Linked DNA regions of Arabidopsis thaliana. The protein of the gene in region 3 purifies or fractionates together with the protein of the main gene of each other region. This does not show direct contact. Each region holds a gene or a part of one and is shown on either strand. Other genes may lie near its edges.

Region 1 (4,812 bases), on a different chromosome or scaffold from region 3:
TTTCCATACAAATATGCTTGCATTTCACTGCCATTAAAGACTTAAGACTGAATGATTGAGGTATTCTTGTTTAAATAGGTGGCAAAGAAGAACAAGGAGACATACCTGCAAGCAATGGAGGAATACAAGAGGACAAAGGAAGAAGAAGCCCTGAGTCAGAAGAAAGAAGAAGAGGAACTCTTGAAACTCCACAAACAAGAAGCTCTTCAAATGCTTAAGAAGAAGGAGAAAACTGATAATCTGATCAAGGTAATAACTCTCTCTCACTCACACTTAACTCACCAAGGTCTATTTCAACTCAGAGACTCACAGGATCATAATTATTTGTCTCTTGCAGAAGGAGAAGGCGACCAAGAAGAAGAAGAACGAAAACGTTGACCCTAACAAACCAAAGAAGCCTGCTTCTTCATACTTTCTCTTCAGGTATGAACTTACTTCAAGTTATAATCCGAATTGGTCTTTATAGAAAGTTCCTAACTTATCATGTTTTTACAGCAAGGACGAAAGGAAGAAATTGACAGAAGAACGTCCCGGGACAAACAACGCTACTGTTACTGCTCTCATTTCACTGAAATGGAAGGTATGAAAAATCACAATTACTAGCAACAAAACACATTGGCTTGTAACAATTTCCTGTTGTTAATCTATCTGTGCGAATACGTCTTTGCAGGAATTGAGTGAAGAAGAGAAGCAAGTTTACAACGGAAAGGCCGCAAAACTGATGGAAGCATACAAAAAGGAAGTGGAAGCTTACAACAAGAAGTCTGCGGCTACTACCAGTAGCTAGATAAATCTCTCTTAGTATTGAAATCATGTTCAAGTCCTGTTGAACATTCCTTATTATGCATCGTTAGATTACTCTAAGTACTTTTATGTTTTAACTCTCGCTGATCATTACTTACTAGTTACTATCTATTTCTCTGTTACAAATTTTAATTAATAATAAATCGACTCGTGTAAAAACGCGGGGAAAGTTGTGTCAATCTCGACCGTTGGATTGAACCAGTCAACAACGTCGAAGATCGGAGAACTCTCCACGTGGCCGAACTCGCCGTTGATAGTTCCGTAATTGTAAAACGGCGGCGTATCAGGGAACGAGAAAACGTCTTTACCATCATCAAGCCCATCGGTTCGAACGGTTAAGTTGGATTTAAGACTCTCGAGAATATCCTTTGGCTTTTGGGTAATGGCTGGTTTGACTCTGGTGTCTTGTCGCTTCTCCGGCGAGGCTAATGGTGGTGTTCTTGTGATCGCCTGCGAACAAGTGTGTGTTCCTCTGTACGTCACTTCGAAAACCGTAGCATCCCCGTCTGATCTCTGGACTTGTTTCGTTGCCCAACAGTTTTGTGTGCTACGATGTGTGCATCTGTAATAACTCCTTGGGAATTTGGCGCCTAAAATGTCTTTTTGACCATATTTTCTCCAGCTAAAGACATCATCTTGAGGTCCTTCTAAGCCTCTCTCTGGGCTTATTCTCACTTTTTCTGACCACTTTGGTAACATCTTTCTGCAAAAATTACCCAAATTTCAAATTAGTTTCTAGAAAAAATGAGATTTTTAAATTCAATTTGGTGAATTGTGAAAAAAGATATCAACAATTTGTTACCTTTTCTTTGAATTGAAAATGTAATCTTGGCGATGATGACTCTCGCTAGAACCTCCTCCATCGGCAAACTCTTCACTTCTCGGACTTCCGTTTATCGATGCCGGAGATTCTGGAACACTGCCGGGATTTGCCACCGGGACTACAGTAACCGGCGTCGGAATAAGTTGTACGCTCGGTGAGGATGACCAGTTTAGCAGAAGAAGAGATCTCTCGTAGGAAGAAACTATCTGCTTCACCAGAATCTCGTTAGTCTCAGCAACAGCCGTCGCCGGTGATGAAAATGATGACGACGGCGACGGAGCTTCTCTAAGTCGTGCCTGAAGCTTTTTGGCCGCATCAAATCCATTGATAAGCTCGCTTAGCAATGTCTTTTGCTCCCAACTTAACATATCTCTTCCTTCCATTTTTAGTATATGATTCCCAAAATAGATTTTTTTTTTCCTTTAGGTAGTTTACTCTAGGAAATTGATACAAACTATGATGAGAAAGATGTATAATGTGTGTTTTAAGTATAAATCAAGAATTGGTTATATAGATGGACTGAAAGAATGATATGATCAGAAAAATATAATGTGTGTTGAGTATAATTAAGAATGGGTTATATAGATTGAAGAATGATATGATGAGAATGAGAGTGTTATAGGATTGGTGATAAAAATGGATGAGTGTTGGTTTGGTATATAAAGGCATTGGATTTTCAGTGTTTGAAAATTTGACCAAATGACCAAACCATAAATAATTATTTTATTTCTTTTTAAAAGAGAGACAAAACTTTCAAATTGAAGAAAAGTCTTTGGTATAAGGAAGTATAGGGCCAGAGTGTAATTGATAAGTGGGGTGGTGGTAGTGAAAGAGTATAAGGTCAAAGGCTGACCAATTCAACATTTCAATTTTGTTAATGTAGTTGTAACCAAGTTTATCATTTATTTAACTATAGTGGGTTAATTATATAATTAGACAACAAAGGGTTATACAACTGTCTCTTTCAATGTACACTTTCAAAACTACGACTTTGTACATGTGATTAAGATTCTCTATTATTATATGTTTTTTTCTACTGTTAAAGAATTTCCAATATATGTTTTTTATTTGATTAAGAATATTTTCAAAATATGTTGGTTGATGCTTTACTAGTATGCATTATGCAACAACCTTTCTATGGATAATATTTCATTGCTATAACTATGAATTGTAATGATGTTTAATATCATTAATAAGGGAAAGGATATTCCACATTCTGTTTTAAGTACAAGTATCAAAACACATATTGGTAATTTGGTATAATACAATTCTTATTAACATTCAATAGATTAGCAATAACATAAAAATTATGTTGAATGAAATTTACTAAGATTTGATTGTTCTAGTTTTAAAATCATACACTTCTAAAAATAAGATATAAAATAAAAATCTGATGAGGATTAATTAATCTGTACAAAATTTCTTCCTAAAAACCCCTATATGTTTTTGTTTTGTGTCAATATATTTAAGCATACATTTGTTCAAGATATAATATTGTATTAACATGAAAAAATATAAATTTGTTTGGCAAAGAAAATAAATAATAGTTGCAGTCTAACAATATAACTAAATAATATTTAAAATGGTAGTTGCTTATACATATATAGTCTGTGAGTGATTATGTGAGCTATGTCAAGTTGTTAACTGTTTCTAAATAAGAAATATTAAACTCGAGAGGGGAAAATAATACAAATGGGTTTAATTTGGACAAATATATATGATATGTTCCATAAGAATATAATCTACAAAGTTATGTGATAATACACCAAGAGTATGACAAGGTTTTTGCTGACCAAGTCACCATGGAATTATCTCAAATAGTCATATAGGTGTGTGAATAAATATTTATTTATGGTTGAGACAAATGGCCATTAATTTGGACAAAATTTATTTATACATAATGATTGATATGTTCCAAAGAGAAAAGTAGAAAAAACCAGTCACTGTGTGATACGATATATACAATACAACAAGAGTATGATAAGGTCTTTGCTGACTAAGTCCAACATCAAGCTATCTAAAGTAGTCAGATCGATAGATGCATTCCATTCCAACATTCATTTCTTATGATTAATCCTTTTTAACTTTGTATGTCATCAAATATTATTCAATTGTAATTTGGACCTCTCATACGTAAGAAATAACCTTTGTAATAATTGAACCGTTATCCAAAAAGTTACAGCAAAAATCTCATAGCTGAAGTTGACACACACGAGTGTAGTGTACAGGACCAATAACCACTAAAAGGTTTATGAACCATATTTACCGTTTTACTAATGAAATGGTTACTTTTTTAAATTTGTTTTGGGTCAAAACTCACTCATGGGAATGGGATTACCAAAATCGTTTTCGATAGATTTGATTTGCGCAAAGTATAGTGTAGAAATAATTTGTTTTTTGGGTCGATATTCATAACATACATTTATTTATGTAATTTTACTTCAACGTAGGCCTTTTACAAAAGGAAAAAAAATCACTTCAACGTAGAAAAAACGTAATTCCAAAAAACAGATTTGTTGATTAATAAAAAGCAAGAAAAATCAAAAAGAAAATCAATATTCAAAAGGACAGGATTGGACCGAAGACATTTCAAACCTCTCTCCGCGTGGATTTTCCCTTTTATCATTCTTTTTTGTTTTCTAGTTTTAGTACTCCAAATGATATTTTAATTTTTATAATGGCGTCACTCTCTTTTGCGTCATTCATTCATTGTATTATTATTATTATTTGGATCTCATTCATCATTCATCCTTATAAAATGAATCTTGGCACTTTGCACCCTAAATTTGTATTTACACTTCATAGAATCAGCTGAAATTATGTAATTTGACATATTTGCATCCAAAACATAACTCTTGAAATCTTTGAATCAGCTCACAAGATAATGACGTAAGTTGACATATTATTTCTGCATTGCTTCATTACAAAACCAAGAAGATTTTTTTTGTATGATCTGTAAACTTTACGGCATTAAGTATCGCATTTATTTCTAATTACGCAACAGTATTTTGTGTGTGTGTGTCAACGCTGCACAGTATTTTTAGTAGAATGAAAAAAAAATATAATTTGCTATGCCAAATATCAGTAGCCAATTGGACTCGCTAAAAACAGCAATAAATTAGTAAAGTAGGAAAATGCCAAACAATTTAAAAAAAACTCATGTACGGAAAAACATTGCTTTCAAT
Region 2 (4,751 bases), 1.5 Mb from region 3:
CCGAATACTAAGACCAGGAGGGTATCTTGCGGTGCAAGACACTGTCGAAATGCTAAAGAAGCTAAACCCTATTCTTTTATCACTCCGATGGTCAACGAATCTGTACAGAGGCAAATTCCTTGTTGGCTTGAAATCTTCTTGGCGTCCTTAAACACAACATTCATCATTCTCTTTAACAAATCTTGTTCATTTTCGTTTTGATTAGGGCTGTTCAATGATTTTTGGTGCGGATACTCTTAATTTGAAGTTTTTTTTTGGTTTGGAAAGTATAGCCTTATAGGAATCAAGTTAAACGTTAGATTCTTGTGATAATGTGTCTTTTAACTATAAAGTTTGAAGTATAAATATAATATTTTTCCTTCCATTTGATTCAGTTTTAGTTTTGATTTTTAGAAGACATGGTATGAGTTAAAAAAAAAAGACATGGTATGAGTAAAACGAACTTGAAATTGGGTTTGTTGTTGGGTCCAACGAACCGATTGAATTCAATCGCGGACGGAGTTTATATAATGGGCCTAAATCTTAATATGGGCTTTTTGATCTGTTACTGAAAGTTTTTTCTTTTTTTTTTCTTTTTGGACAACTGTTATTGAAAGCAAAAATGTAAAATAGTGAAATAAGAGGGCAAAACGAAGAAAACATCTCTCTGTCTAAAACAAGCAAATAAATGGAACGAAATCCATACCAAGAACAACATTGACGCCGGGTATATATTTCCGTCAGCAGATTCTCCATCTATGGCTCAAACAAATAGATCCAAAATCAAATGAATATGTTTTGGAAATAAATATTATATTTTGTTTCAATGCAAAATTCCAATGATTTGAAGTGAAGTGATTTGATGAAGGAGTTGAAGTGATTTGAGTTTAGATAAAAATTTAGATGATTTTGACGATTTAAAATTTTAGAGAGTTTTGACAATTTTTTAAAATGACATATAAAATAACACATAAGATTAAAAGAGACATTTACGAATAATATTAAAGACATTGAGTTATTTTATGAAATCAATAATGAAACTAATGAAATGACGATTTGGATAATCACCGGACCATTATATAATTTCATTATTTCAGAATAGTGATTTGGATAATCACCGGATAATTAATACTATTATCTAAGTAAAATAATTATGTGAATTTCAGCATAAACTACTAAAATTGCCATTGTGATTTTTCAAAAATAATTTAAATTTGATTAACTAGATGTTAAAATGAGTAATCGGTTCATGGATTAAATCACTTTATAAAATGATCTACCTCCATCATAACCTATTAGATTGAAAGATAGGTTCAGAGTTTGTGCAAAAAAATCTATAGCATACACATCTGAACTATTTCTCTTTGGTCAAAGAATCCTAAGTCTATTTCTGGTATTAAAGATGACATCCGAAAAGCCCTTTTAAAAAGATATTCAGGAATCAGTATAAGATATTCTGAGGGAAGTCAATCAGAAAATGATATTTGGTTAGCTCTGGTGGTCAATATAATTGAAACCCTCAACAGTCCAACCATAATTGAAAACATTTGTTTTTCCTAATCGATGATTTCCACGTTTTACATTAAAATTGTCTATTTCTAACACTGTAGAGTGATTAGTAGTATAAAGATAGTTTGAACGTCAAATATTATACTACATACTGTTTAGTGCTGACTCTTGTCCACCTTATAAACATCTGAAGTCAAAAGGATGCTGAAGTCATTAGAGTAAATATTGAGAGGAAGAAGTCTTATCGTCGCCCCATTTCACTTATCATTGGGTGAGATCGGTCTTGAAGAAAGAGAGTTAGAGAGGAAAAAGAAGAATCTTATTAGCTCTATAATATCTGATATTGCTTCTCATTTAGTTTTTCACTTTTTACATTAAGATTGGTTGTTTGTAACATTATGGAGTGGTTAATAGTATAAAGATAATCTGAATATTATAATATATAATGTAGAGTCTTGTCCACCTAATAACCATCTCTTCAAAAGCATTGTTCTATGATCTGATTTTTCGGAAAGACTCTGCACTTCTGTTGCACTTCTGTTGTTGGACACTTTCTCTTTGCTAATAAACCACTAACACAAGTCCAAGCGACCAGAGAATCCATTTCTTCTTGTTTTATTAGAGCATTCATAATAAGGCCAAGATTATAAATCATCCGAAAAGCCCAAGTGTCCTATGTAATTTATTTTCCAAAGCTCATTTAATTAGATCTAAGCAACTAGGTTCATATATATATAGTCTCTTGTAATGAACATCAAATAGTTAACTTTGAAAGCAATCTCAAAACATTGAGATTTATGTTGTTAAAGAGCTTATTAAGATAGCAACACGAGATTGAAATTAGATAGCTTATTAAAGCTTTAATTAGCTCACACGAACCAATGTGAAATGGGGTTTGTTGTTGGGTCCAAGTCCAACGAAACGATTATATTTCTTGGATGGTAGTTTTAATAATGGGCCTGAATCATATGGGCTTTTTGATGAGACTGTGACGGTAAGAAAATAAAAAAGGGCAAAACCGAGAAAACAGATCTCTCTGTCTCAACTCAAACAATCAAAAGCCCTAGTAAAACCCTAGCCCCCAAAGCCCTTGTGCCATTGAGCCGTTATATAAATCCTTCACTCGCTCCTTGAGAAGACGAATTTGAGATTGCCTCTGCAAAGGTACTTCATTTCGGTGAACCCAATTCATGTTTTCGATGATTTTTGCTTCTCTATTTCTTCGATTTTGCGTTTTATCGCGTTAAAAGCACATATCGAAGGCTTGCAGATAACGTATAATAAAAAACGCCTGCGAGCTCAATATTTGTGCAATATCCTAAAACCATCCATTTGAGGTTTCGATAAATCTCTGTGTTATAAGAATTTATCTTTTCTTATCGACAATTTCGATGGATGGGACATTTATTAATCGGTTTTATGATTTTTAACATTGTATGAGAAAATCTGAGTCAGATCTGAATAATTGAATCCTTATTCGTCTGCATTGATCGGAAAATAGTACCACTTGGGTTTTATCTAGTTTACTTTAAGGTGCTCATAGAGTGGTAATCTCACAATTGTTGTTGTTTGAACAATTTGGGACCTTTGTTTGCATGATTTAGTCTCTTATATACCAATTAGAATTTGGGACCATCTGCTGATTCATATCTTTGTAATTGACAGAGTAAAATGGCGAATCCTAAAGTCTTCTTCGACATCTTGATTGGTAAGATGAAGGCAGGGCGTGTTGTAATGGAGTTATTTGCAGATGTGACTCCGAGAACAGCTAATAATTTCCGTGCTTTGTGCACTGGGGAGAATGGTATTGGGAAAGCAGGGAAGGCTTTACACTACAAAGGCTCAGCCTTTCACCGTATAATCCCAGGGTTCATGTGTCAAGGTGGAGATTTCACTCGTGGGAATGGAACTGGAGGAGAATCTATTTACGGGTCTAAATTTGAAGATGAGAACTTCAAGTTGAAGCACACTGGTCCAGGGATTTTGTCTATGGCTAACTCTGGTCCCAACACTAATGGTTCTCAGTTCTTCATCTGCACAGAGAAGACTTCGTGGCTTGATGGGAAACATGTTGTTTTCGGGAAAGTTGTTGATGGATACAATGTGGTCAAGGCAATGGAGGATGTTGGCTCTGACATGGGAAATCCTTCTGAACGAGTTGTGATTGAAGATTGTGGTGAGCTCAAGAACCCAAGTTCATAAGTTCTTAAAACATTGGGTGGGTTGATCTTGACAGGTTATTCTATCATATGCTGTGAAGCAGAGACAGCATCTTAGCGTTAAGGTCAATCTAGTCTGTGATGCACTACTTTGGTTTTGACTATATCATATGAACCTTAGGAAGTGGTCCATCCTTGTAAGTTGTTTTCTTAAAACTCTTGTGTGAGAATAGGATGGATGATAATAATGGTTAGTTTCTTTATGAAGACATTTGGTTTTGTAGCTTTCTTATTTTGGTGTAGTTAATATGAATGAACCAAACTCTTCTTAGGACTCATTTGCGAATATGTATCCAAAATTGCTGACTTTTCGAATTGGGCAGATTTCACTTCATATGCAGAACAAGATAAACTTTCTGATCATGTGATGATAAATATTGTTTAGCCAACGCATCACACATTTCTTTGAGTAGTTTCTACTTATGGTTAAGTTTCAGCATCAATAGTCAATAGCCAACAATATTTGGACAGTCTTCTTTAAATACTCCAACAACTAGTTTGCCTTGGCAATTAATGTAACTTAAAGTCTAGCCAACTCTTTGGTATTAGCTTCGTTATTTTATACATTTCTTAAAACCATTTTATTCACATTTCTTGACCACTTGGATTCCAACATAGTGGCCAGCCATGCTGCACCACCTCGTCAAAATTACCACAATAATTTGATTTGGTCAAATCATCATTTTTTTGGAAAACAACAACAAAAAAACTTAAACTTTGTATAATAAGGACCCTGGGGTTAAAAGTATAATTATTACTATGTAACAAATCAAAGTCTAAGATGGAAAATACTATAATCCGTTGACTTAAATGTGCTAGAAAAAATAAAGAGGTCGAAGCCAGGTTATCATCGAATAAGACTTTTGCCGCAACCGTGAGAGATGTTCCTGTTTGTTTTTTCTTTTCTAAATGTTGGTTTATAAATAGCATATTTTTTTTCCTTGGCCCCAATAGATAAAGAACCAAACCTATAATCTTCCTCTATAATGAATTTTCATATCTTTCGATTTTTTCAATTTATCCTCGTCGCAGTTTTCATCTTCC
Region 3 (4,693 bases):
GCAAGAAGATTGCTACAAAGATCAAGAATCCACAAGATGGTGGAATGTCTCATGACAAAGAAGAGGAAAACTCTTTAGCAGTGATTAGCTGTTCTGTTTTCTGATCTAAAGTTTCTTCTACAGCAGCTAGTTGTTGATTGACAAAAAAAAAATCTAATCAATCTCCTATCTCCTTCCTATGTTGCCATCGCCTTGTTTGCATGGCTGGACTGTAGAAACTTTTCCACGGAAACAAAGCTATAATCAATGTAAAGATTCTTGCTCAATCAGTCGTAAGGGTTTTAGAATGGAGTTCAACCAAAGCCTTATCTTTTTTAGACACTACTAAAACGAATATTGCAAGTACTAAATTGCTCTACTCAATGTAAATATACTATCTCAGCTTCTAGGTCATTTTGTGTCCACTGTGATGAAGAAACATGAATCGAGAGACAGATCTCAATATGAGTGAAAGTGACAAGCATCAAGAACATCATAAATTTCTACAACAACCGTCGGCAGACAAAAAAGCAAAGCTACTTAACCTTCAATGATGGGGACTTGAATTGGAATTTGGAACAAACAATTTATAGCAAAGCTGATAGGTTATAAACAAATTCGACAGTTCAACAGATTTTCTCACCATTTACTTATTAAAAAACCACTGATTTTTGGTTCTTCAGACTGCTTCTTCATTAGGGTTTTGCAAGGATTGAAGATGGAAGTTAAGGATCGACCACCAGTTCAATTGTGGCACGCTACCGTCGAGTGACCGAGTCAGATAATTACTCTCGGTTTAGTTCGGTTTGGATTTTCCGGTTTAAAAAACATATGTTTAAAACAGAACAATACTTTTGGTTTGGTTTGGTTTGGTTCGAATTTTGGATAGGAAAAATATTATAGTTTTTTATCGACCGAAAAAAATCATTGATTCAGTAACACACACTTTAATTATATGTTGGGAAAATATAGTAACATATTGAAATATAGTTGTAATTGTGCAAAAACAAACTCTTAAATCATGGCATTTCACAAAATGCTAATAAGAGGCAGCAATCATCATTTTAGAGAATTCGTGGAAAGAAAGAAAACCATCGCCATCAAGGTCGGCTTCTCGGACCATATGCTCCGCTTCTTCTGCTGTTATCTTCATCCCCATGTCCTTCATTCCTTCTCCCAACTGCATTTCGTTTATAGAAATTAGGAGAAATGGCTAAATAAACTATAGTTAAGACTTAAGAGTTAAGAGAATGGCTTATATTATAAAAGTAAGCTAATAACCATTTGACCAAGTTAAATGACCAATCTTTTTTGCATTATTTTTGAATATAAATCTTTTTAATTCAGATAACGAAGTATTTTTCAAGTAGTATGTGACTATGTGTCTCTCGATTGTTGTGTTGTCGCCGTGTCGGTTTGAGAAAAAAAAAACAAGACCATATGAGCAATGGAGTTTCTTATGGCGACAAAAATTTGTGTTGTAATGAGTGAATGATAGTAGATTATAAAGATAATAATAACAAGGTCTTCAAAAAAGTAACATTTAGTAATTTCTCTTCTTTCGTTATATCCATCTACATGATCACTTAATCTTATTATATATGTATGTAACTCGTTTTTTATTGTTTCCATGTCAGGACAATGTACTATTTGGTAAATAGTTAGACAATTTATTTACCTCAAGTTGAGATATGAGACCATCTCCGTCTCTGTCGAACACTCTGAATACCTCAATTAACTCATCCGATGCTGATTCCTACAACCAATTTTTTCATTATTAACTTTTCTCTACAATTATCAATCTTTACTATAACTAAACGGTTTTAAGTGTGTATATATATTTTACCTGAGAAGTGTTTTGAGCCATAATATACAAGAAATCATCAAAAGTGATGCCACCGTTGCCAAAGATGTCAACATCGCTCATCATCTGTTGCAGTTGTTCCGCCTTTGGATTCTTCCCCATCGACTTCATCACTTTCGTTAGCTTCTCCTTCGTGATGAACCCTGTTTCACATGCATCATAACATCATCAAACCGATCGATTCTGAATAAATTTGTGTATCAAATCGAACAAGAAAGAGAGAGAACAAAGCAGACCATCGGAATCTTTGTCTATGAGACAGAAGGCTTCGTAAAACTCTTGGATCTGTTCATCTGTGAAAGCATCCGCCATATCTTCGATCACAAAGAAAAGTCAAAGTCTGTCTTTGATTCAATCTGATGATCAGCTTCTCTTAATTTGTTAGTGATGAGAGAAGAAGAAGGGAGCATCTATCACATTTAAGTACACATCACCTCTTGGCTCTAGGCTCTTGCCCGGTCAAGGTCAATACTCATGACCTTGCGTTTTCATTAGTTGTGATATTTTTTCTTGAGCACGATTCCAGGTCACGCGTCTTTGTTCAAACTTATGACTTCAACGCTTATTTTTCTTTATTTTCATAGTTATTAGAAAAAATACTTATAGGGAATTAAATTAGGATCTTGATTATTGCGAAAAGAAAGGGTGGAGTAATGCTCGGGTTTGAGGACTCAAGAATTAAAAGTCGTACACCAAGTTGCATTTTAAGAAATAATTGATGTACGCGTGTCTCTAATGTAACCCTTGATTTTGATTTTCCATTATTTAGTGTCCTAACAACTTCTGTCAAGAATTCCATTCAGTAACTTTGAAAAGTTATATGTCTTGTTACCATAAAAAGCGAAACATATCTTAGAAGTGGGTTTTTTTTAATACCAAATGGGATTTAAAAGGTAATCAATATGAAAAAAACGGACTGACCATAAACATTTTTCTTCTTGTACAAACATGTCTCTCCAAAGCAATGCAGATAAGAGATTTGTTAGAGATGTTGTGTTCTAATTCTAACTCCTACTTTTATTCACGTTATGATGAGAAGTTGAGAACGAAACATTGTAATGTGAATAAAGGCTTAATCTGATAAATATTGTGGGGTCTCTTATGTTTATGTCCATCCAATATTAGTGGCTTACGGCTAAGAAAAATATGAAAATATATTGTAGTGTTCTATACTTCCATTCGATCTGTTTTCCACTTTTGAATGATTCAAAAAGTCTGGATAACCATAAGTTTACAAATTTAAACAAATATTAAAATACTGTTAAAAACAAAACAAATCACTAATACTACAAATTAGAATTTCGGATAGATGTTTCATTCTACAATCGGAGAATAGACTAGTTCAAAAGCGGATACATATTAAAAGATTATCGATCCAACAAACCAAATTCGATGCAAATATATTAAAAACAATATCCGCTTTGTGCCTACCTACCCTGTCCCATACGGTCATAATTAAGAATTGAGGCTAAGTAGTATTAACTGCAAAAATGTTCCGCACTAGTCACACTACTTTGGTCGTAAGCTTACTAAAGAGGGAGATGCCGTGTTATATATCCTTAATTGGATGTTAGTTGGTGGCGTTATCTGTTTTGGTATCTAGAGATCTATGCCTCATTTAGATCTTCTTCTCTTATCATAGTGTATTTCTCATTTACAAACAACCAAACAAATTAAGAAATAAGATATGGGTAAGTAAGATCATAAACGTTAATGTTTGATTTGGTATGTATGATACGATTCAGAATCAGACTCACGCGAATTTACGCTCCCACTACGCTTTACTTAGCGGAGATCGGATTCGGATCTCTCATTTGATTACATTTTCAGCTAATTTTGTTTTTTATTGTTGTTAACTTAACTTTCATTTCATCACACTAGTCTTTGTTTGATGTAAAACAGATATCTTGATTCCCGTATTAGATGGCAGAGCTCCCTTATTTTTGTCTTCTCCCACCAATATTATACTATGTTCAAAAAATAAAATAAAAACATAATATACATAAGGGACGATCACTACAAATAAGCATGCATCAATCGATGTAAATATATCCATTTGGGAATATTATTTGAGAATCTAACTCGTAGTCGTAATTATAATATGTAACGATGCTACCAACTAATTAAATAAGTATTTTGAGGTTAAACAATGTTTTTCGGTTTAGCTTATTTAAGTCATCCAAGTATAATAACATAAGTTTGTTGACAAAAAAAAAACAGTATTTTGAGGTTTACTCATTACTACCAACTCATTCGCATTTTGTCGTAACTAATTTGGTATATCGTATACTTGAAAAATACATATATCTATATCTTGATTTTCATAATCCTTAACGTTACAGTATCCACATATGGTCCAATTAACATCACTGGTCAAACAAGAGAACAATGATCAATCCGTTACTATGATATGCACACATTAAATTTAAGGCTCCTGAAGTGGTTTCATATATTATAAGATTCCATGAGCCATATATCACGAATTAATGAAAATGCGCAAATGATAAGCAAAAGGCAAAAAAAGGAGGCTACGCCACCTGTCAATGTAGCCGTTGCACCTTCTCCTCCTTTTTAAAAATAAATACTCTTTTTAACATTTCCTCAAACGCTCCAATTTTGTTGGTTTCTCTGTTCCAAAATAGAAACGAAATCTTGAATCTCTTGATACGATGGTGAGATCAATCCAAGAAGGAGTCTTGATGTCTTCATCTTCTTCCTCAACCACAAGCAACAGCAACGACTCCGACGGTTCTCTCAGCCCATCTGCGTCCACCAAAAGCTTCGTCCTCAACACTCTCCGTCCGCCTATCACCGGCGCGTACAAGCCACTCGCTGTTCTCTCTGCTCATG

The links. Proteins that work in one complex are often made in the same cells at the same time.
Region 1: the proteins of CAM9 (region 3) and WRKY53 purify together in Arabidopsis thaliana (affinity purification with western blotting, with the first as the bait; one study listed by BioGRID). This does not show direct contact.
Region 2: the proteins of CAM9 (region 3) and ROC2 purify together in Arabidopsis thaliana (affinity purification with western blotting, with the first as the bait; one study listed by BioGRID). This does not show direct contact.

What each region holds. Positions count from the first base shown.
Region 1 is NC_003075.7:12,391,730-12,396,541, forward strand, and holds WRKY53 (WRKY family transcription factor), read right to left. Parts: upstream 2,254-4,812; 5' UTR 2,011-2,253; coding exon 1,607-2,010; intron 1,508-1,606; coding exon 937-1,507; 3' UTR 788-936; coding exon of another isoform or gene 671-787; 3' UTR 641-670; downstream 1-640. Other genes in the region: 3xHMG-box2 (HMG (high mobility group) box protein), read left to right, coding at 79-249, 338-423, 496-580, 671-787. UniProt on the Arabidopsis thaliana protein: Transcription factor. Interacts specifically with the W box (5'-(T)TGAC[CT]-3'), a frequently occurring elicitor-responsive cis-acting element. May regulate the early events of leaf senescence. Negatively regulates the expression of ESR/ESP.
Region 2 is NC_003074.8:20,805,926-20,810,676, reverse strand, and holds ROC2 (rotamase cyclophilin 2), read left to right. Parts: upstream 1-2,508; 5' UTR 2,509-2,652; exon of another isoform or gene 2,653-2,825; intron 2,826-3,153; 5' UTR 3,154-3,159; coding exon 3,160-3,690; 3' UTR 3,691-4,111; downstream 4,112-4,751. Other genes in the region: AT3G56080 (S-adenosyl-L-methionine-dependent methyltransferases superfamily protein), read left to right, coding at 1-151; AT3G56060 (Glucose-methanol-choline (GMC) oxidoreductase family protein), read left to right, coding at 4,694-4,751. UniProt on the Arabidopsis thaliana protein: PPIases accelerate the folding of proteins. It catalyzes the cis-trans isomerization of proline imidic peptide bonds in oligopeptides.
Region 3 is NC_003074.8:19,267,160-19,271,852, forward strand, and holds CAM9 (calmodulin 9), read right to left. Parts: upstream 2,500-4,693; 5' UTR 2,156-2,499; coding exon 2,080-2,155; intron 1,987-2,079; coding exon 1,826-1,986; intron 1,736-1,825; coding exon 1,658-1,735; intron 1,160-1,657; coding exon 1,019-1,159; 3' UTR 792-1,018; downstream 1-791. Other genes in the region: AT3G51930 (Transducin/WD40 repeat-like superfamily protein), read left to right, coding at 4,513-4,693. UniProt on the Arabidopsis thaliana protein: Potential calcium sensor.